Linked DNA regions of Yarrowia lipolytica. The protein of the gene in region 4 purifies or fractionates together with the protein of the main gene of each other region. This does not show direct contact. Links are inferred from orthologs where the notes say so. Each region holds a gene or a part of one and is shown on either strand. Other genes may lie near its edges.

Region 1 (5,864 bases), on a different chromosome or scaffold from region 4:
GTATCATGTTCAGGAGGCTCGTTTATATACGTTTGTGCATGCGTTTATGTCACTTGTTTGTGCCCCCGTTTCCTGCTCTCTCCATTTCCCATTGACATCGCCAAATAGAGAAGACGAGTGCGACCTTGTGCATACTACATGCGCTTGGGTTAGGGATAGAGAGATTGATCTGGTGGGATCAGGGGAGATCAGGGGAGATCAGGGGGGGCTCTGAGTGGGATTTTCGGGTGGTATCACGTTATTAGAGTAATTATGGCCGGTCACGAAGGATATTGATTGACATGATTGTGTGTGGTCTAAAAAATACCAGAAATGATGATTGTATGCCAGAGTTAATGGATGGGAAGGTTCTCTTTTTTGGTGTGGCCAGAACAGGGACAGAAATGGAGGTATGGGTAAAACATGCATTTTTGAAGATGGTAGCTGGGTATTGGAGGTGAGTGGAGATTGGTTCTCTGAGGGAGGTATTTCCCCTTTTTGTGCTATTCGTGTCAGTGTTGCACTTTTCATCAGCTCCCATAATTTCTCCCATACTGTGGCGTGTTTACTGGAACTGATACTGTACATGCCTCAAGTACAAGTACAGTATATACTGTACACTCGTATATATTGTTACGTCTGCGGGGTCTGTTAGCGAAATGTGGGTCGTTTGATTGGCTGAAAATTGGAAATTAATTTTAATATCCGCGATATATTATTGTTCTGTCAAAATTTGGTCTGTTTCTGGACACTTCTTAGTGGACTGGAAGGACCCTTTGATCTCTTGTTGGCAGGCAGTGTATGTTCGATCTTAGCTCGTCAGAATGACGTTAAAAAGGGGAAGAAAAAAAAAGAAAAAAAGTGAAATTTTTGGGGCTTACAGAGTGTGTTTTTTTAAAGTGGAACTTATGGGGAAAATACATAGCGGGTTTTATGATAAATCATAGTTGATTGAATCTATGCTACAGTATTCCCACTTCCTTCGCTCAGCAGCTGGACCTGAGAAATATTGGGTGTGGTCTTCGCCTTCTAACTCACGTGACCTCTGGAGTTGGTTTCCTGAGTTCATTGTGATCATTTTGATACCATAAAGTCCAGTTTCTGTTTTTTTTCCAGCTCCTTTTTTGTCCGTTACCATTCCCACATACTGCGAGTACATCTTGTCTGGTTGGTACACCACCCTACATACTGTAGTCGCATTCTGCTTCAACGATCCAACATAGCTATTGGCGGGAGTGAAGCAAAGACGCTAATGAGTACTGTATTGGTAGCTTCCGGGAAGCATTTCGAACACAATCTTTCTTTTCCACTTCCCTTTTTTCTTGTATATTCTCGTTCTAAGATGCTACAACTACTTGTAGTCGTCCTCGTGCTTTAATTTTCTTCAGTCTAAGTACACTGTGTACACTACATCCTATATAAAATATAAAACATAAAAAGAGTACATACCGTCGAAATTATACTTGCACTCTGATCACTCCAATTGTGGTAATTTTTGGTCTAATAGAAATCTGAAAATACCATTGAGATCAGCTTGGAATTTCTAATACAGTACAAGTGTATAAAGCTCTTCAGAGTGACGCTGCCAGTATTGACCATTCTGACCATCCAGAGTTCGTACAATATGCTCTCTTCAATTAACTCTTGTAATCTTCATGTAGAACACCCAGCTTTATTTCCCCAGAGTGTCTTCGATTTTGGCCAAATTGACGCCCAAAACATCACATTCCTTCAAAATCCCATGATAAACATCCTTCAATTCTCCGTTTCATCTCTCTCCTCGCCAATCCCATTCTTGGTCCCTCCCCCCGTTTCACCTCACACCCATGAAATACAGTCCAGATAAAGTTTGCCAGTCCCAACTCAACTTTCTCCCGCCCACTGCACACTGTCTTTGACACCACACACAAGACAGTAATTGTACCAATCGTTTGTCAATCGTTTGCCAATCGTTTTTCGATCGTTTTTCGATCCTTTTGCAACCGTTTGTCAACCGTGTTCGATCACCATGTCATTAACAGAACAGCTGGCGAGTCTTGGCCAGGTCGCAGACATGGCCGCCAAGGACGCCGCGCTATACGAGCAGTATGTGCCGTCTCTACTGGAGCTGGCTTCTCGTCCCGAGAAGGAGCTGCAACAGTGGCTGGCGGACTTTCTGCTTGATGCGCTGGCGTCGGTATTGGCGCTGGAGAAACGACGCGAGCTGGCGCTCAAGGCGCTGACGGTGGTGGACAAGTTGCTGAATGGAGAGGTGAGTACTATGTGACTGTAGGGACTGGACAAGATCAAGTGACCCTGACCTGCCTGAGGTTGCCCTCAGCATTTTTTAAGTCACATGACTGTTCTTGTGACAACGACGCAAACCGCAATTGTCAACTGTAATGGCCGTTGTGTCTAGTTTATGGCGTTGTACTATCTCTGAGTTGGACGTTGATCCGACAGACGACCCACTGCGTGATCGACTCAACGTTTAGCTTGCGGGGTTTGTTTTCTCGACAACGTGGACTGATTCAACGACACCAGTATCGACACAGATCCAGACGTCACACTTTTCCACACGTGACTCTTATCCATTATTGTAGAACTTCGGCGACCGTGTTGGTGGCCCCCCAGTATGCTCCTGGAGTCATCATCGACTGATTGCATCTTTCTGGGTCCACCATCCCAATGCTGTCAAGGACAAGAACATGTGTTTGGGACAAAAATGACATAGCAACTAGACGGAGAGACACGCATCAGGTCATGTGACGTGGCAGGGGAGGTTTTTGGCCGTTTTGCGTTCCCCACTGACAGACGGTTGACGATCTAGCCTAGCGCATCGCAGTCTTTCGCTATAGAAAATGTCTGTCTACTTAGTCAGTGGAACCGTCTTTGCATCACTGACAATGCTTCATTAGCTATATATGCGAATTGAAGCGTTTCAGAAGTGCCAACAGATCCAGTGTTTCTCTCCAATTTTCGGACAGGCGTGCCTCCTACTGCTTGACTCCTGTGGATTCTGGTCAATTCTGGCTGGACATGTAGCTCTGGTTGTCTATTTCAGTTGTTTCTGCCTCCAGAGCAACTATGGATATTGTCCCTCTGACTGCACCGTTTTTGTTACTGCTGTCTAGGATTGATGTATGTCTTCTAGACATATGTCTTATCTAGAGAGGAGTTGCTGTCGAGACTGATGTTGTCTAGAGATATGGTGCTGTCCAGAGACATTACTATTCTAGAGACATCAACTCCCGATTGTCCGCTCAAACTCTGGTATTCGTTGTATTACGTCCTACTGTTGTCCGCTTAGTCCTCGGTCCTCGGGCCTTTGCTTTCGTTTCCCACTAACCCAGCCCAAAACCCCTATTCTCCTTTCCGCCCTCATCTACCCCCTGGTCTTCTCCGCGGTCTCCCTCAACCCGAAACTCTCCTCCGAATGGTCCACTCTGACCTCCCTCAAAGAGCGGATCACGTCCATCTGGAGCAACGACCCTTCACCCTCGGTCGAAATAGCATGCATCAAATTTGCCCAGCAGCTCGTGCTCGTCCAGTCACGGGGCCAATCAGGTCCTGCTGACCCGCGTCTGGCCGCCAGATCAAAGCCGTCAGCCGAGGCCAACATGAGCATGGTGCCGCCTAACCACCCGCTCATCCACAGATCACTCGAGGCCGAGGGCCAGGGTAGTCTGGACCGCCTCCTAGGCAACCTCACTGGTGACGACTTGTCACATGACAACCAGAAAATCGCAGAACCCATTTTCACAGCAACCGTGTTTGCTCTGGCCCCCATTCTCAAACAAAGACCCGAGTACGGCAACAGAATTCTGCAAACGGTGTTGGCGGTGGACCCGGTGGCTATGGAGACGAAATTCACTTCCAAACTCGCCGTTCGCTTCTGCGAAAAGTCGCTCAAAATGCTGGTTACCCACTGCTTACGTAACAAGATCCACGTGCAGCTGCGACACAGAATGGAACGGTTTCTGGCCGAGGTGGGCCGAAAACGACCGGCCCCAGTCGACGATCACGTGACCAAGCGCCAGAAGACGGAGGAGCCGACCACCAATGCATCTACACCTACTCCTGTATCCATGAGCACCACCATGCCCCCCAATGCAGACTCATATAGCGCTCTGTTCACTCTGATTCCTGCCAACGACCCGTTGGTGGCTTTCGACGCCCGGACGTTACCCCAGCAACTGGCGCTTCAAATCGCGCTCACCGGTTTGCTGAGCGTAGACGAAGCGGTTCTTAGAAGTCGAGTTGGAGTGGTGAAGCAAAGATGGGACAATTGGCAACAACAAGAAAAGGCCAAGGAAGAGGCCAAGAAGTCCAGATCTGAGTCACGTGATATCCAGAACAGACGAAGCGAGTCGCGAGACTACCGGTCCGGGTCCCGTGAAGACGACGACGACGAGAGGGACGACTCCCGATCTCGCGGACGGGCTCAGTCGCACAACACCGGTTCCCGCTCTCGATCCCGCGACGTCTCCATGGAATCACGCGACTCTCCTGTTTCACGTGATTCCTCGCTCGACTCCCGAGTTTCTTCCGACTATTCACAGACCGAAACCGACTCAGCAGTCACTTTCCAACTGCCACCCCCCGAGCCCCTTTCAGAGTCTGAAAAGCTTACGGCCGGAACCGAAATCGTGTCGCGGTTTTTGACACAAAAGGACGTAGCGGTGGCAACAGCCAAGTCGCTGGATATCCAGAAGAATGCCATTTCCAAGCTGGCTATCAACGAATGGACCGGCGGTTCGTGGATGGTGATTTTGAGTCGATTGTTGAGCCGTGGTCTTGCTTATGACCCCGAAACCGAGCCTGCCGACTCTCTCAAGGTCCAACTTTCCACTCACATTCGAAACCAGCTGTTGAACATGGCCACTACGGCGTTTACAGCGAATTTCGAGGACGTCATGACCTGGCTCAACGAAGAATGGTACTCGGAGCTGATCCGGTACGGTAAAGTTACTCCAGCCACGTCTGTCTACTACGAGTATGCTTCCCGTATCATGGACACTCTTGTTCAGACCATTGATCCCGACAACTGGAAGTATTTCATCAGACTGGTGGGCGAGCTTCCCGAGCTCGATTACGGCCTGGTTAGTAAGCTCAAGCATCTTCTGATTGACCCTGATCGGTCGGTTATTGGTGTTCGGTCGCTCAAGTATCTTATCATGCTGCGTCCTCCTACCCGAGACTACTGTCTCGATGTCATTGAGGAGGTTTACCAGGAGAATGAGAGTCTGAGAGGCGGTTTCAAGCAGGTTCTGGGCAAGTATAGACCGTTGGTTGTTGAAGGAGTTGAGAGGAAGATGTTGGAGGTGAAGAAGGAGGAGGCTTCTGAGGAGCCCAAAGCACAGGTGAAGCAGGAGCAATAGATAATGAAGAGTTATGAACTTGTAGAATGTATTAGAGGAGCTGTAGTGGAAAGATGGGGAGTTATGAACAATACTGACAAAGAGACAGATGAATCCAAAGAAGATCTCCAGCGACAGATAGCGGTAATATGTCGGCGACACACGATTATTCTCTCCAAGTAGGGTCTTTAAACATATTGTAATATGGATTTGGCAAGATGGAGCCAGGTGATAGATACTACTGCAAACAACTCGCTTAGGCCAACCCACTGCAAGTTTCCGTTTTGAAAACTCTCCTCTCCAAGGTCGTCACGAGTGTAAGCAGGTCGTCTTAGCCCCGTCTGCCTGAGGGTTTCCACCAATATTTAGCCAGAGGAGATGTGAAAGAAACAAGAACCATTAATCAAAACCCCACCACTATCTACACGTTGCCCGCCACTCTTGTTACCGGGTCGACTGGCTTAACAGCAGCCCGAATGTCAAATACGCCCCTAAGGCAGATGCAGATGCCCCCAATTCAGGTCATACCGTCATTGGCACTGCTTG
Region 2 (6,158 bases), on a different chromosome or scaffold from region 4:
GATATAGAAATACCCAGTACATTGGAATTTCCAGCCAACTTGGTAGTTAGCTTATCGCAGATTTTCAATCAGCTTGATCATATACAGTATACGTATTGGATAGCTTTGACGGGGAATAGGGATAAGGTCTGTTTGTATGGAATGCGTTTTTCACAGTATGTACTATACAGTAGCCTCCTATCTGTTTGCCTTACGTTCTAATGTTCTCTTTCCCGGGGGTACCCAGCGAAGTATAGATCTGGAGGGCGATGCTCTGTTCCACCAGATCGGCAACTCGGCAGTGTAAAGCCACGTTGGGGAAGTACTGTAGCATGTTCTACGTTGTTGGGTATGCTTATGACCAACAGTCTACATACGGTCCATGGTGCCCGCTGGTATATCTCTACAACTGAAAAGAGTGGGGTGTTCTGTTCTCACTTAGGATGGTGCTATTTGTCGACAGCTGCTTAGCCTGGCAACTGGTATGTACTGTAGCTACAATACTGTAACTACAACTTATCTAAAAATACACTAATATTAAAATATACATTATTGTGTCATTGACAGACTCAAATACATTTCTTGAACAGGTCAGAGATGAGCTCAAGGTCCTTCCAGATCAACTGCTGATATCGCTGACCCAGACGGTTAGCATACACGTTCTGCTTGTTTCGGGGCAGGTTAGCAAATCGAATCAAGGTGTGGCCATCAAGAATAGGTCTGTGGGGACTGTTTCCAGTGCCAGGCAAGATGGGATCGTACCTGTAGGCTCTAGGATGTAACCCACAGACGTGGGCTTCCTTGTCGGTGATCTGAGTCTGGATGGCATAGAGACGTCTGTAGGCATCTTCAGGGCAAGGGACGACGTCAGTCACTGATCCATCACTGCACACACCAATCACCATGAATCGATCCTCGTTTATGGGTACCATGGCCGAGGAATCGATCACCTTTCCAGAGTAGAATACAGAACGTCTCAGGAGACGGGCTCCAGAGTACGACTGAGGGTCATCGGGGTCGTACTCGAGGATGTGCAGTCGTTTCTGGAGATCAGCCACAACAAATGTCAGGTTCTCACCCTCGATAGCAAAGTCACAGGTGGTAACCAACACCCTCTGCAGGTCACGGGCGAACGGGATCATCTGGTACGGGTCCATGGAGAACCCGACAAACTGGACAGATCGGGTGGCATCACCGAGCAGAAGCATGGAGTTCAGACTCTTGGCAACGGCCACGTAAGTCTGCATATCGAGGAAAGCAACAGGAACGAGGGTAAGGTCATCCTGAAGAGCCTGTACAAGCAGCTTCTGGCCCTGGACAGCTAGAAGACGACCAGATACCTCGCAGACAGCAGTGAAGGCCCCACGGACACGGTCCTGAACCAGCTTCTTGAGTCGTCTATTGGTCTCGGGTCGTTCCTTCTCAGGAACAATCTCAATGACATCAAAGAGGTACAGAGCACCTCGAGCAGCGAGATCCTCACCTCTAAGAATGGAGGTTCCGACAGCCACCACCTCCCGCTTTTGTGACTTTCTATCAGAGATGGACAACTTGACAGACTCGCAACAGAGGGCCGCTTCAGCGGGCATCTCGAACTCATAGGAGTCAATGACAGTCCACGAATAAGGGTTGACGATGCGAATGGCACCCTGATAGGTAGTGGCAGGCATGATGTCTGGTGTAAGACTCTCGATCACCTCGTCGTCTTCATCACGGACAACATGGGGAACTGTCTTGTGAGTAGCAATGACATAAACGTCCATGGTCTCGTGATATGTGACTTTGGAAATGGTCTCTCCGCAGAGCTGGACATGCTTCACGGGCCAATTGGTCTCGAGAGAAAAGCTAGGGTCGAATCTGCACTCGGCCACCTCTCCCGCTTGCGTCAAGTAAGCAAATTTTCCGTCCCAGGAAGTGAAAGCAACTGCGCCCTTAGTCTCACCGAACTCGATTAGTCGCGGAGAAGTATGCAAAGTCTTGACTAAGATGTACGCGGTTTCACCAGTCACTCCAAGTGTGTGTTTTCCGTTAATAAGAGGGACTTGGGTAAGTCGTCTATCGGAGTTGATTGTAGGGGTTCGCTCAAGGAAGATCTTTCGGAACCTCAGCTTGTCATTGTAGTGATAAGGCTCATAAACGACAAGCTGCTGAGGAGTGAGGAGAACCAGGTAGTCCCGAAGAATATGATCGTCTCCAAGGGGACTCAATGCGATGTCCACAAGTTCAAGAGGGGCATCATAGAGCTGACCGTCCTTCTCTTTGATGAAGCCAGACAGATCAGAAGCATCTAGAATGAGACGATCGTCGGAATTCAGACCTTGGAGCAGAAGAGACCCATCCGCGTAGCACACAACAACAACAGGTCGCGAGTCTTGAGCGGGAGATCCCTGGCGTGTACGTTTCTTGCTTGGTGCACCGAAAGTAAGGGAGGAGTCAGTGGCGTAGATACCGATGGCCTTGGACTCACTGGCAGGCTCGATAGAGACCTGCGCAGCCTTCAAGAATGGTCTCTTGTTGATGCTCACGGCCTCCAATATCTTCACCTGGCCATCAGACAGCAACACAAGCACGTAGTTGCCCAGTACACGAGCCTCCACGGCTGTAGTACCTTGGGGCAGGGAGTATTTGTGGGGCTGTCCGATCTTGGCGTCGTAAATGTTGACAGTTTCCAAACAGACCTGGAGGAGCGCCGAATCCAGCATTGAAGAAGAAAAGATTGTGGTGACATTCGAAACAAAATGCTTCTTGGTCTTCTTCTTCTTGGTACTGAGAGAAACGTCTTCAATAACCCCAGCGGCATCAACATAGTACAGATATGAGTTCTCACTGTCAGACGAGACAACATAAGTTCGAGATTTGGCAACCTCCCCTTCCTCCTCAAAACGCACGGGTACTGACCAGAACTGGCCTCCCGGCATGTCCTTATACAAGGACTTGCGTTTGTATGGCATCAGTGCGCTTGTGAGAATGGCCAGAGCAGAGTTTGCACCGACACCTGTAGTAGTGACAAACTCAACACCTTGACTGCCTCTATTCTTGCCCAAAGCCAGCGATTGCATGGGTCCCATACCAAGCATGCGGTCGGCCAGACGTAGCTTCAATGGACGATTGGTAGTGTCCTCTGTTTGAGCTGTGTCACCGCCATAAAGATCATCGTCAGACTCGTTTCCGTCATCTAGAGTCTCCTCGGGCTGACTTTCTGGCTCACCATGGTACCACTTGACTAAGAGCGAATCTCCAGCTCGAGATCCAAGGAAAATAGTTCCATCAGGCCCAGCTGCAACAGAGGAAGGCTGGGATAGGATGAAGTTGTCTGGCTCAATAGGTCGCAGTTCGAGACTAGCCACACGTCTACCATCCTTGTTGAACAGCAGACTGAAAAACTGGCCATCTTCTGTCACCAAGAGGGCGGTATTGCCCAACTCCTGGATGAAGCAGACCTCAGCACCTTCCAGTCGCAGGTCAAGAGTCGACTGGTCCCTCGATACGATGAGATCAGAGTTTTGTCGATGTGTGTTGTTGACCATGACACCTGTGTAACTAGCCGAGGAGTCGATGTAGAGAATGGTGTTGGCGCAGATGATAAGTGAGCCACCAAGAGGAGCAGGCAGAGGAATGACCTTCTGGGCATCCACTGGCAGGCCATTCAAGGTACCAATTACGGTGGAGTTCTTCTGATGGACGTCGACACTGACGATAGCGTAGCTCACCGTGTCCTTGAGAATATTCTTCATACCCACCCATGCTCTCTTGGGCTGAAAAAGGATACCCATTGTCGTTTCTCGGTACTCGTGAAGGAAGCAGATATCCATCACGTTCTCGATACGTTTATCGAGCCTCGATGCCTTAACAATGAAGGAGGGATCAAATACCTGGCCACTTTCTGGCATCTCATCGTCATCAAGACCCTTCTCGATAATAGGCAGAAACGCCATTCGATCATTCTGGAACAGCAGACAGGTGTAGAACGAGTTCGCCTCATCTGATACAGCAACAGACGAGCACTCGGGCTCGAAGAAGTTGCTCTCGACCAAGCCTTTTTCGTAGTAATGCAGCGATTTGGTGTCGATGGTGAAACTGCTAGCATTCCATGCAACAATCACGGCCTTGGCATGCTTGACAGAGATGTAGAGCGAATCCAAATCGTAGTTGTCGATTGTCTTTATTCGGGTCACGCCCGTGACGGTTCCATCGAGGTAGTATTCGGTGATGAGCTCGAGTCGAGGAGCTTCATCCTTGGTAGGGATGTCGTCCTTGTATCGGAAGATCTGGAGCAGCTGCGAGCCCTTGACTAGCACCAGGTTCCTCTCGCCGGTGAAGTTGCACGACAGACTGTGAGTGACGGCGGTCGGCTCTGTCAGATTCTTGAAAATGTGCATGTCGTGCTACTGTGAGACAGTATATCCTGTAGTTCCAGATCGTGATGATTTCTTGGACTTTCAGAACCTTAAGTTTGGGAGTTCGGACGGGATGGTTGAAAGAGGTGTGACGAATATTGAGGGGATGTGTGATGTAAGGGCAATAGTTTTGAAACGAAAAGGCATTTAAGAGAACTTCTGGATATTGAGTCGTGACTGGATGAGCCCTGTGTCCAGATGTTCCTTACGAATCGCACAGTGTTACTTACATTAGTTGAAATATGGAGCGGGTGGGTCGGGCAGTATTACGGCTACCGAGGTGGAGTGGGCCTATTTGACAGAACAGTATTTACTAAAGTCACTTGTTTTAGTGCAAGCTACCAAGCCGGGTATCCATCTCTACTGTGGCCCAGCATCACACCTATCGCCTCTTAATTACAAGCACTTTCCAACATGCATAACGAGGTAAATACTTGCAAGTTCAACATCAACCGCCACACTTTGCTAGATCATGCAACTCCCACCCGAACTGATTACACTAGTGGCGACTTTTCTCGACTTCAAGGACCTGTCTCGATTAACATGTGTCAACAAACACCTCTATGAACTGCTGGCAACTGACATCTGGAAAGACGTCTACTACTCTGCAGGCTACGTTCCCCCTCTACTAACATGTGCGCCCCTGATCCAGCATGTTCATTTCGACTCAGCAGTCACAACGATGTTCTTCAACCGAAAAAACTTCCCAGCAATCAAACAATTTTCTGTATCGTACTACGAGGATATAACTCCGTGGATAGGGTTGCCTGTGGGCACTGTGTTTCGCAACTGGAGGCGGGATCTGTATCAGCAGTTCTACCCCCAGCTAGCCGAGTATCTCAAGGCCCACGAAGTTACTCTTGCCAGCCTTTTGCTCTACGACCAGTCCTTTCTCTACTACTTCATTGAGGCAGACAGTTGTCACAAAATCGAGAGGTTACGATTCGACACCAACTTCACCGACACAGTTCTGTACCATGACAAGGTGTACCCTCCGATATTGCGACTAGCAATTGTTGAGAAGTTCATTCGCGCTGTAGAAGCTGCAGGGTGCAGACCTCCCTTTGATCGTGATCAAGGCAGCTTGTCATTTTGGAACCAGATTGAGGACATTGAGAGAGGTCCTGATGGTCCCATCATGCCACCGCTTCCAGCTGATTTTGGAGACTTGTCTGGTGAACGGACTTAATCGAGATCTACTGACCAATCGAATCGTTGTCGTGCATTGTCATTATATAAAGATGGTGAAGATTTACTCGTCTTTCACGACAGGCTTGGGAATGGGCTTTCGAAGGACATTTCCGACCTCGTTGAGCACATAGCTGGCCAGGAAAAGAACAGGGATGTGCAGAGGATTTCCAGCAGCCCATGTAAACTTGGTGCCTCCAAGGTTGAGCTGACCATAGACCACTGCCAGGAAGGCTACTCGCAGAACGGTCCAGGGAAGTCGACCAATGTAAGACGAGTTGGCGGGGGACCCGGGAGTGAACTGACACTGGTACTGGTTGCCAATTGAGATGAACAGAGATGCAACTGTGGCAGCAAGCCAAGTCTTGTTAGAAGTAGGCACCCGGGTACACATGAGATACGAGGCGTAAGCAGAGGCCAAAGTGCCCAGGCCGCCGACAATGGAGAACTGGACACCCTCGTCACCCTGGACGTTGAGGGTAGTTTCGTTGAGGTGATTGAGGATGAAGGACATGGTGTGCTAATCGATAGAAGATGAGATGAGCACAGTTGGAGATGATGTTTGAAGTCCTTTAGAGTTGTATCGTAGTCCAA
Region 3 (4,047 bases), on a different chromosome or scaffold from region 4:
ACCAAGGACACCTCTCTGTTGTCCAAGCTCAAGCAGGACAAGTCCCTGCGAAAGCAGGTCGTCAAGCAGTTGTGGAAGAAGTCCAACCAGGGTCTCCTCATCGACGATGCTGTCAAGTCCCTGACGGAACTCGTCGAGTCCAAGAAAAAGACCTACGGTGAGAAGTCTGACAAGACCCACAAGCACAAGATGGCGTCAATCGTGCTTGAAGGAGAGCTGGAAATCCTTGATAACATTGTCAAGCGACTACCCGAGACTACCACATACGTTACTGACGACATTCTCACAAAAAAGCGGGCTTCTGACGCTCCCTCTGGTGATGCTAAGCGAAAGAAGTAGATTCACCTATAAACTGTATAAAATGTATTAAATGTATATTAACCGTTAATACCACTCACAACTGAAATGTAACACGATCAATTTATTCTTTTATATAGTTGTTTTTCATTTCTACTGCTGTCGTTATAATGTATTTTGACCCTATGGATATGTATAATACGCCTACTCCGCAGGAACAGGTTTGACTCCCTCCTTGGGGGCCTCCTTTCTCTTTCTCTTCTTTCTAGGTTTCTCTGGTCGCGTCTCGTCAGGTCTGAACACGTCTTCAGGGAGATCGTATCTGTGTTAGTTGGGTTTTGGTAGCTGTTTTGGGGTTAGTGGTATACTCACGCTTTGACAGAATCAATGAAGATGCTGTGCATATCTTCGTTGTAGTCGGTGAAGCTTCGACAAGTTCTATAAAATTCTTGACAGGGTGCCAGGATGTCCAATCTTCGTTTGCCTCCTTCTTTGGTCTCCAGCTTGATGTCCAAGCCTATGTAAAATGTGGTAGTGTACACAATGATCTTGTCTTTTCGATCAGCCTCGTCCTTTGACTTCTCATCGCCAACCTCGTCGGCCACAGCCTTCTCCAAGTCAGTCGACAGAGTCACTGCTGCCACGTTCTGGCCGTCTGCCACCTTGAGAGCCTCTTCATCACTGTTGCACAAATGCTCTTTGTCGAACGTTTTCACGTAAGGATGGGCCAGCTCGATAGAGTCCAGCAGTTCGAGCTTCTGCACAAGATGTCGTAATTTGGATTCGACAAAACCGCTCCACTTGAGCTGCTGTTCCGCCGTGCCCTTGCTAGCCGCCACAATCGATAAATAGTATTTGTAGTCCGAGAAGAAATGGTGCTTTTCAAACAGTGCCGACCACGGCTTCTGGCCCAGCATAATTTCGTTGAGAATCTGGCCTCCTCTCTCAAGTTCTCGCAAAATGACCTTTTGTGTACTGGCGGTGATATTGTGGGTGGCGCACATGGAAGGGTAGGCAGGTGTGATGATGGGCATCCTGTGCAATTTGTCCTGCGAGTAGATTCGGGGGTTCCACACTCGCGCCTGTAATGGGCCATCCTCAATCTTCTTGAGGAGTACTGGCTGGGGCCATCTCCATCTTAAAAGCACGTTGAAGAATCGCGACAAAATCACTGCAGCCACGGCGTTGGGATATAATTGACACACTCGGGCCACCAGAATTCCCCACTGTACTCCTCCAGGGAAACCCATGATGTTTCCGTATACCGCTCGGTTTTGTGCCCAGATTTTGATAACTCGTAGGGCATGCTTGAACACCGTCTTGTTGGGAACCAGACGGAGAATGTCGTCGGTCACTCGCGTACCGTTGAGAGCTCGCAGATCCTTGTCGTCCACGTTTCGCAGCAGGTTGTCGTCTTCCAACGTCAGGTCTAGTGGCACTTTGGGGATGTCGAGACGGGCCGAAATCAAATCGATGGAGATACCCATGAACTTGACCTTGATGATGGGAACAAAGGCGTCGGGTACGGCAGAGATCTCCTCCAACTCGGGCCGTTCTCGGAGAAGACGTTCGAACACCTCAAAGAAGTCTTCTCGAGTCACATGTTTGGGGACCACAATCAGCGTATCGATATCAGATCCCGGACCATGGACTCCCAGAGAGTAAGATCCAAACGTGAAGATTTTGCCTCCGGCATCACGGGCCATGCCATCCGAAAAGTTCTTCTTGAGACTCACTTGTCGCACGTACTCCTGGGCCAACTGCTGCATGATCAACAGCACTTTTTTCCGTTTGTTGGACTCGGCCTCGCTCTCGAATGATCCTTGTCGCTTAAGCTCCTCAATGAGCTCACCGTTGAGCGCAATCTCCTCGGGCGTCGGGGGCGCCGTGGAAATCGGCTCCGTGATTCCGTATTGTTCCACCATAGCGTGTCTGTAGTGTGTGGGTGTGTGGGATTTGGCAGTATGTCGTGAGTATACGCTTAGTTGATCAAAAACGCCATGGACGAAGTTTGTTTAGTGTTGGGAAGTTACATAAGCAGCGAGTCAAAGTGGGTCCTCAGAAGGGCATGTAGCATCAAACAGTGTCTAGAGCAAAAATTCGTATGTTGTACTATAATATTAAAATTGATTTGTAACTGGTCGGACGCTCCCCTTTGCATTATGTGTGCTAATCGCGTCTGTGTCTCATGCTGGGTCTTCTATGCTGGTCATGATCCTTACTGTGTTCAATTAGATTCATCAACGTGTGAACAAGTAGACATTGGTTAAAATGGCTCATATTGAGACATTCCTAATTGTGTAGTACAAGTAGTACGGTAGCTACTTTAACATGATGTTGCCTATTTCGTTCAAAAATCCTTCTTTATATATTCTGCTTTCACAGACCCCTGTACATAGTGTACTGTAAGTAGCAGCAGTGCATGCCTCGCCATATCTGATTATTCACCTAAGTACCCGTACAGATATATTCCGTTTTATAGTCATTAGTCATTATTCATTAATTTTAAACTGATTCTCCCGGCTGTTCTGACAGCGCCCGGTTCTCGGCTTCTCTCTTTTCCTGCTTTTCCTTCTTGCCCAGATCGCCTCTCATCTTGACCTGGTGCTTACCAATCAACAACACACTCAACAAACCTCCACAGAGACCCAGACAGGTGTAAAAGACGTACTTGAATGCATGCGAGTACATGTATCGCACCAGACTGAGCACATGGGCACTGATATCTGACCCTTTATTGTTGAGCATCTGGGTAGCAGCAGCAGCATTGGTTCCCGACAGAGGTTCCAGGAGCCACTCGGGAAGCTGCCGGATGATGGCCGGGTCACTGATCTGGTCCTCCATCTGGTTCTGGAACACCACACCTCCAATGGAAATACCAATGGACATGCCCAGCATACGCACAAAACTCCAGGTTGTGGTACTAATGGCAATGTTCTTACGTTCAACCTGGGTGTGAATGACCACTAGAGGTGCCTGGAAAACAGGTCCAATACCAGCACCCCAAGCCATTACGTAACAGATTCGCTTGCCAACGTTGGAGGTCTCGTCCAGAGTGCTCAGCATTCCAGTAAAGACGATGATAATAACACTGGAGATCCACATGACAGGCAGATAATGGCCCGTTTTTGCAATGAAGATACCTGCTCCAGCAGATAGTCCACCGGTGACAAAGGCCTGTGGAAGCAAGTAGACTGCCGAACCCATGGGGCTCTTGCCGTAGACGGACTGGTACATGAAGGGCATGAAGTAAGAAATGCACATGAAAACAATGGAGTGGAAGAAGGTAAAGAGGTAGCCTCCAAGTCGGGTCTTGTTGGCAAACAAGCTGGGAGGCATGATTGGTCGAGGGTAGTTTTCCCGTTGGTCCTGAAACCACTCCAGAGTAAGAAAGATGCCGTAGAGCACGAAGGCAACCACCAGAAAGGCGATAATGATGCCTGACCCCCAAGGGTGGGTAGTTCCTCCCCAATCAAGGGCCAGAAGAAGTAAAACAGTGGCTCCAGCAACAAGAATGATACCACAGAAGTCAATCTTTAAGAGCTTCTGCCACACAGTTCGAGTATCATTCTCGTACTCCAAACCCTTGTTGTTCTTCAGTAGAAGGAATAGCATGCACATGGTGAAGCCGGCAATAGGTAGGTTCAGGTAGAAACACCACCGCCAACTGACATTTTGGGTTAGAGCTCCTCCAATCAACGGCCCAATGGCTCCTCCAATAGCCCAGGTGGCTCCCAACATGCCCATGAA
Region 4 (4,614 bases):
AATGAAGCGATGCATGAGATAGCGACTGGAAACGCCGCCCGGTGCGTCGATAGCTCCGCTAAACGTCGGAGACGGCTCTTGTGCCGAAAAGACACACATTTACACTCTCTTTTGGATCACGGCCAAAACTGACTCCAAAAGAGACGGCTTCTTTTACACCCTGAAGGGCTAAAGAGCGCGTGTTAAACACTCACAGCAGCAACCTTCACCGGCCGCGGTTCGTGTGTCTTACAAAGTCTTCGCTGTCTTACGGGATGGCGTGGTAGATTGCTTTAAGGAGAAATGTGGCGATGCTGACTGAGGACTATTGTCTTAGTTGCAATTGATGCCACATTAAACTACTGTTATCCATCAATATGGTACTTACTCTACAATACATTGACAATTATATGCCTACCCCTCGCTCCCTCATACAACCATATAACAATCCAGACATTGTTTGCTGAAGCACAAGACTCGAGTTCTTCAGTCCCCCTCCTTTTGCTCTTTGTGGGTCCTTGTGCTCACCAGCATCCACCCGCTAAAGAAGTCCGTCCGGAATTCTCACGTCCCTAAACAAATCCACCAGCCGCTGAGGATCAAACGTAGCCTCTCCATAGTCAGAAGAGTTGGGAAGCTGCCTTAGCAAAGCATCAATCTTCTGAGGCAGGTTGAAAGGTTCCATCTTGTCGCCCTGGTCGTTTCCGTGAGAGGTTCGGCGAGCTCTCTTGCTGGGCCGCTCCGAGTCAGAATCTTCGTCGGTTCGCGACTTGGGCTTTTGCAGCATGTCGCATTGTCGAATGACATCAAAGTCCGAGGTAGCGAACCGGTCGGCAATGATGGTGATGGGCGACGTGTCGGGGTTGAGCTGCCGCAGACGGTCCTGCAGCTTGACCACACTGGTGATCTCGCCAAAGTCAGACTCAAACTTGATCATCGACTTGATGAGCGAAGCAGCGTCCGACGGACCTAGAAGAGGAATGGTTTTCTCAAACAGAGCCCGTGCGTTGGTGTCGTCGTGCAGAGAAATGAGAAAGTCGAGATAATGCTGAACGTAGGCTGCATTGGAACCGCAGTACTTGAGACCAAGCTCAAACACGTTGGTGGCAACCGTGGGGTTCTTGTTGTGGTGAAACTCCATCAGCGCAGACGCGACGTAAATGTGGTAGGTGGCAAACCCAGTGTTTCTGGCCTTTTTGAACACCATTCGGCCTGGCTTGATACCCTCAAACCGTTTCACGGCCTTCATGCACACCGAGTACGCAATGGAGATCTGGGTGTTGAGCTTGATGATCTCAGCAGTAGGCTCGGCCTCCGGATCGCCCTGAGCTTCAATTAGAGCCTGTCTCTCCTTGCCCAGAGACTCAATATGCTCATCGTAAATGGTTCGCATCTTTTCAGCATCGGCTTCCCGCTCGTAGTACTCGGCGAGCCGGAAAGCCAGCAGCGATGAGTTGGGGTTGAGAGAGAGGCCATCCTTGAGAAACTGCAGAGCCTCGGTCTTGAGCAGAGGGTCGTCAAAACAGTACTCAGCAGCCAGAAACCAAATCTCGGGCACAAACTGCAAGCTCATAACGGCCTGTTTGAGGCAGTACAGCAGCCGCTTGTTGGTTTCGGCCTTGTTGTCGGTACCCAGAGGGTTGCTCTTCTCCCAGTCGATCCATTTCTTCCAAGCTCGCACCTGGAACTCGTCTCTGGGCCCGGACTTGGGCACACTGCTTCGGTCCAGACCCCGCATCAGGTTCTCCAGCACCGTCTGGCACTGTCGGGCGTTTTGGCAGCTGCCAGACTTTTCATTGATGAACTTTCGAGCTGTGGCCTTGTTGAGCGAGTACTCAAAGTTGGTGTAGGCGGTCCACAGAATCGACAGGTTGTTGAGCGGGATGCCAATCGCCTTTCGGTATATTTTGCGCGTGAGGTCATTCTTCTGCTGCTCCTCCCAGGTAGTTGTAGCCGGCTTGGATTTGATGAAGTCCAGGTACTCAAACCACACATTGCCACTCTCTCGATCAATGCCGACATGGTCAAGGTAAAACTCAAAGGCCTTGATGATGTTTGTTCGGGCTTCAGTGATTTTGTCCGACTCGGAAGACAGCACGTTGACTCGCCGCACATAAGTCAGGTAGATGTTCCACAGCTTGAGGTTGGGCAGGCGGGTCAGACACCGCCCAAACAGCTGCTCCAGGCGCTTGAACTCGCCATTGTCCATTTCCAGCGTGATGTACTCGATCCAAATCTCGGCCGACAGCGGGTACAGAGCCAGAAACCGCTCGTAAATGTCCCGCGACTCGTCCAGCTTCTCCTTGCGCACAATCGTCGAAATCAGATCCAGCCACGCAGGCATGTCTCGGGGGTTGGCGGCGATGCGGTCCTCAAGAATGCCGATTGTGTCTGTGGCCAGTCGTTTTCGCTTGTTGTTATCTGGGCCGCTGTTGTTGTTGTTGCTGGTGGAGCTGGCTCCTCCTCCCACTTGGTTGGGGTCGCTGGGAGGGGGGATGGTAGTGCTTGCAGCCAAAGAACTGATAGCTCCATCAGGGATTCCGGTTCCTCCAACCGACCCTCCTCCAGCCGAGTCCTCCTCCACAGGCTCACTCACCGCTGCAGGCACATAGTCGTCATCTTCCGCGACTTCTTCAGACGAGTTCTCAGGCTTGGGTTCTTCCCTTTTCTCATCATCCCTCTGCTCCCCATCCTTGGGCTCGTCTAACACTCCTCCATCGCTCTTTGTGTCTGGTCCATCCTCCACCTTGTCCTCCTTGTCAATCGATTCAGGTTCGTCGCCCTGGTGCACCAGGGTCCCCGACTCGACGTTTGCGTTTGTATCTTCACCACTTTCTTCATTATGTGCCGGGTCCTTGGCAGCAGCCTCGGCCTCGAGCGCCAGCGGCTCGCCAGTGTTCATATCCGTCTCCATGTCGCCCGGCTTGAACGCCACGGCCGTAGGATCGTAATCGTCAGACATGTTGAGGAGTGACAGGGTCTGAAAAGTGCTGCAAGTAGTGTATGCGGATTTAGGTTGGTGGTTGTGTGTGGCGGCGGTGAAAAATGGGAGGTGGCATTAACGAGCGTTTGCTGGTGGTATAAGGCTGATTAGGGGCCATGGATTCTGTTTTTGGGGCTATTAGAATACAACTGGCACTTTCAGCTAATCAATCGGATAACTATAGACCGAGTTGGATCGAGTCTCTGGAACGTTGCTATCCCTTGTAAACACCTAACAAACCCCCCAAAGTTAGTTGAAACTCCCAAGTAATAGCTGCGACTCCAGAACCCCTTCGATCGGGGACTTTCGGTGAGTGCTGGAAGGTGAAAAAGCATCCCCTCCATTTATGAGAGCTGCCTATGCGTATGAGAAAAAAATGGTTTTAATAAGTGTCATTTCAACCAGTTAAATCGCATATTTGAACAAGTACCATCTCCACTGCCCTCCATGGGGAGCCCGCCCCCCGCATCTCCCCAGTCACGGTCTCCATTGCACTAGAAGCGACCAACCAGTCTTCTAAAACACTACTTTATGCACAAACCCTTGCCACCACGTCCCACTTATCCGTTCTTCCGAAGATATTTATTAATTTCATTATTCTGCCCCACCCCGAATCGAACACACGCATCCACCCACCCACCTCCTACGATATATGAAAAGTAGTACATGCTGTAGTCTTGACGGAGTCGACAGACCAGCGATAGACACAGATACAACCAGCTGACCATCGTCGGAACAGCTCCCTCGTTATTGATTCACCTCTTCATCCAACACAAACGCGCCTACACACTCACAAACCGAGTGTACTGTACTCACAAACTGGGTGATATGCTCATAACCTCTTAGAAAGAACAGTCTACAACCGCATTCTCATTCTCTCCCCGAAAATCATGTTCCGTCTGCACGTCTGGGGCCCCGTGTCCACCTCCCTGACCTTTTCCGCCCCCTGTCTCGCCACCATCTGGTACATGCAGCTATGTGATATCGACTTCACGGTAGTGCAGTCGTCCAATGAAGGTCTGGCGGGCGAGCTGCCGTGTCTGGAGACGTCGGAGAAAAAGATCGGAGGCGCCGAGTCCATCATTCGATACCTCAAGTCGCTGGGACACAACCTCGACGCCGATCTGACCTCGGACGAACAAATCAAAAACACAGCTCTCCTGGCCTACATGAGCAGTCTGCAGACAATCACAGAGTACTGTCTGTTTGTGGACGAAGAGGCGTACCAGAAGGTGACCCGGCCCATGTTCAACGAGTTCATGCCTTTCCTAATGCAATACAATGTCAGTGTACGACTTCGAGAACAGGCCAAGGACCGATGCTGTGCCGCTGGAATCGACACGGCGACGCCCTCGTGGGCTGTTTCGGCAACCAAGATGGCGTCCGAGTCTCTCACCAACCCCAAGCCCAGCATGGGTAAGCTCTACGATCAGTCTGTTGAGCGTGAAAAGCAGAAAGACGCCTCCAAGGCCGTTTCCAAGACGGTTTTCCGACTGCTCAACTCGGCCACAGAAATTTACACCGACATGATGGATACTGCCACAGCAAATGTCGCCAAAGGAAGTCTGTTCAGCACGGTTTCCACGTCAGATGTGTTTCTGTGTGCTCATCTGCAGCTTCAAATGCTGCCTGCGCTGCCTGACTGTGCTGTG

Evidence for each region.
Region 1: the proteins of YALI1_D23274g (region 4) and YALI1_F05781g purify together in Saccharomyces cerevisiae (affinity purification with mass spectrometry; 3 studies listed by BioGRID). This does not show direct contact. The link is inferred for Yarrowia lipolytica from reciprocal best matches to the Saccharomyces cerevisiae genes RNA14 and PTA1.
Region 2: the proteins of YALI1_D23274g (region 4) and YALI1_E04790g purify together in Saccharomyces cerevisiae (affinity purification with mass spectrometry; 3 studies listed by BioGRID, with this or other methods). This does not show direct contact. The link is inferred for Yarrowia lipolytica from reciprocal best matches to the Saccharomyces cerevisiae genes RNA14 and CFT1.
Region 3: the proteins of YALI1_D23274g (region 4) and YALI1_F35714g purify together in Saccharomyces cerevisiae (affinity purification with mass spectrometry; 3 studies listed by BioGRID, with this or other methods). This does not show direct contact. The link is inferred for Yarrowia lipolytica from reciprocal best matches to the Saccharomyces cerevisiae genes RNA14 and PAP1.

The regions. Positions count from the first base shown.
Region 1 is NC_090775.1:575,567-581,430, reverse strand, and holds YALI1_F05781g (uncharacterized protein), read left to right. Parts: upstream 1-1,987; coding exon 1,988-2,229; intron 2,230-3,310; coding exon 3,311-5,339; downstream 5,340-5,864. UniProt on the Saccharomyces cerevisiae protein: Essential in pre-tRNA processing. Component of the cleavage and polyadenylation factor (CPF) complex, which plays a key role in polyadenylation-dependent pre-mRNA 3'-end formation and cooperates with cleavage factors including the CFIA complex and NAB4/CFIB.
Region 2 is NC_090774.1:474,701-480,858, forward strand, and holds YALI1_E04790g (uncharacterized protein), read right to left. Parts: upstream 4,359-6,158; coding exon 549-4,358; downstream 1-548. Other genes in the region: YALI1_E04795g (uncharacterized protein), read left to right, coding at 4,849-5,565; YALI1_E04807g (uncharacterized protein), read right to left, coding at 5,629-6,078. UniProt on the Saccharomyces cerevisiae protein: RNA-binding component of the cleavage and polyadenylation factor (CPF) complex, which plays a key role in polyadenylation-dependent pre-mRNA 3'-end formation and cooperates with cleavage factors including the CFIA complex and NAB4/CFIB.
Region 3 is NC_090775.1:3,569,613-3,573,659, reverse strand, and holds YALI1_F35714g (uncharacterized protein), read right to left. Parts: upstream 2,223-4,047; coding exon 670-2,222; intron 620-669; coding exon 502-619; downstream 1-501. Other genes in the region: YALI1_F35746g (uncharacterized protein), read left to right, coding at 1-339; YALI1_F35690g (uncharacterized protein), read right to left, coding at 2,803-4,047. UniProt on the Saccharomyces cerevisiae protein: Polymerase component of the cleavage and polyadenylation factor (CPF) complex, which plays a key role in polyadenylation-dependent pre-mRNA 3'-end formation and cooperates with cleavage factors including the CFIA complex and NAB4/CFIB.
Region 4 is NC_090773.1:2,325,756-2,330,369, reverse strand, and holds YALI1_D23274g (uncharacterized protein), read right to left. Parts: upstream 2,942-4,614; coding exon 521-2,941; downstream 1-520. Other genes in the region: YALI1_D23265g (uncharacterized protein), read left to right, coding at 3,853-4,614. UniProt on the Saccharomyces cerevisiae protein: Component of the cleavage factor IA (CFIA) complex, which is involved in the endonucleolytic cleavage during polyadenylation-dependent pre-mRNA 3'-end formation and cooperates with the cleavage factor NAB4/CFIB and the cleavage and polyadenylation factor (CPF) complex.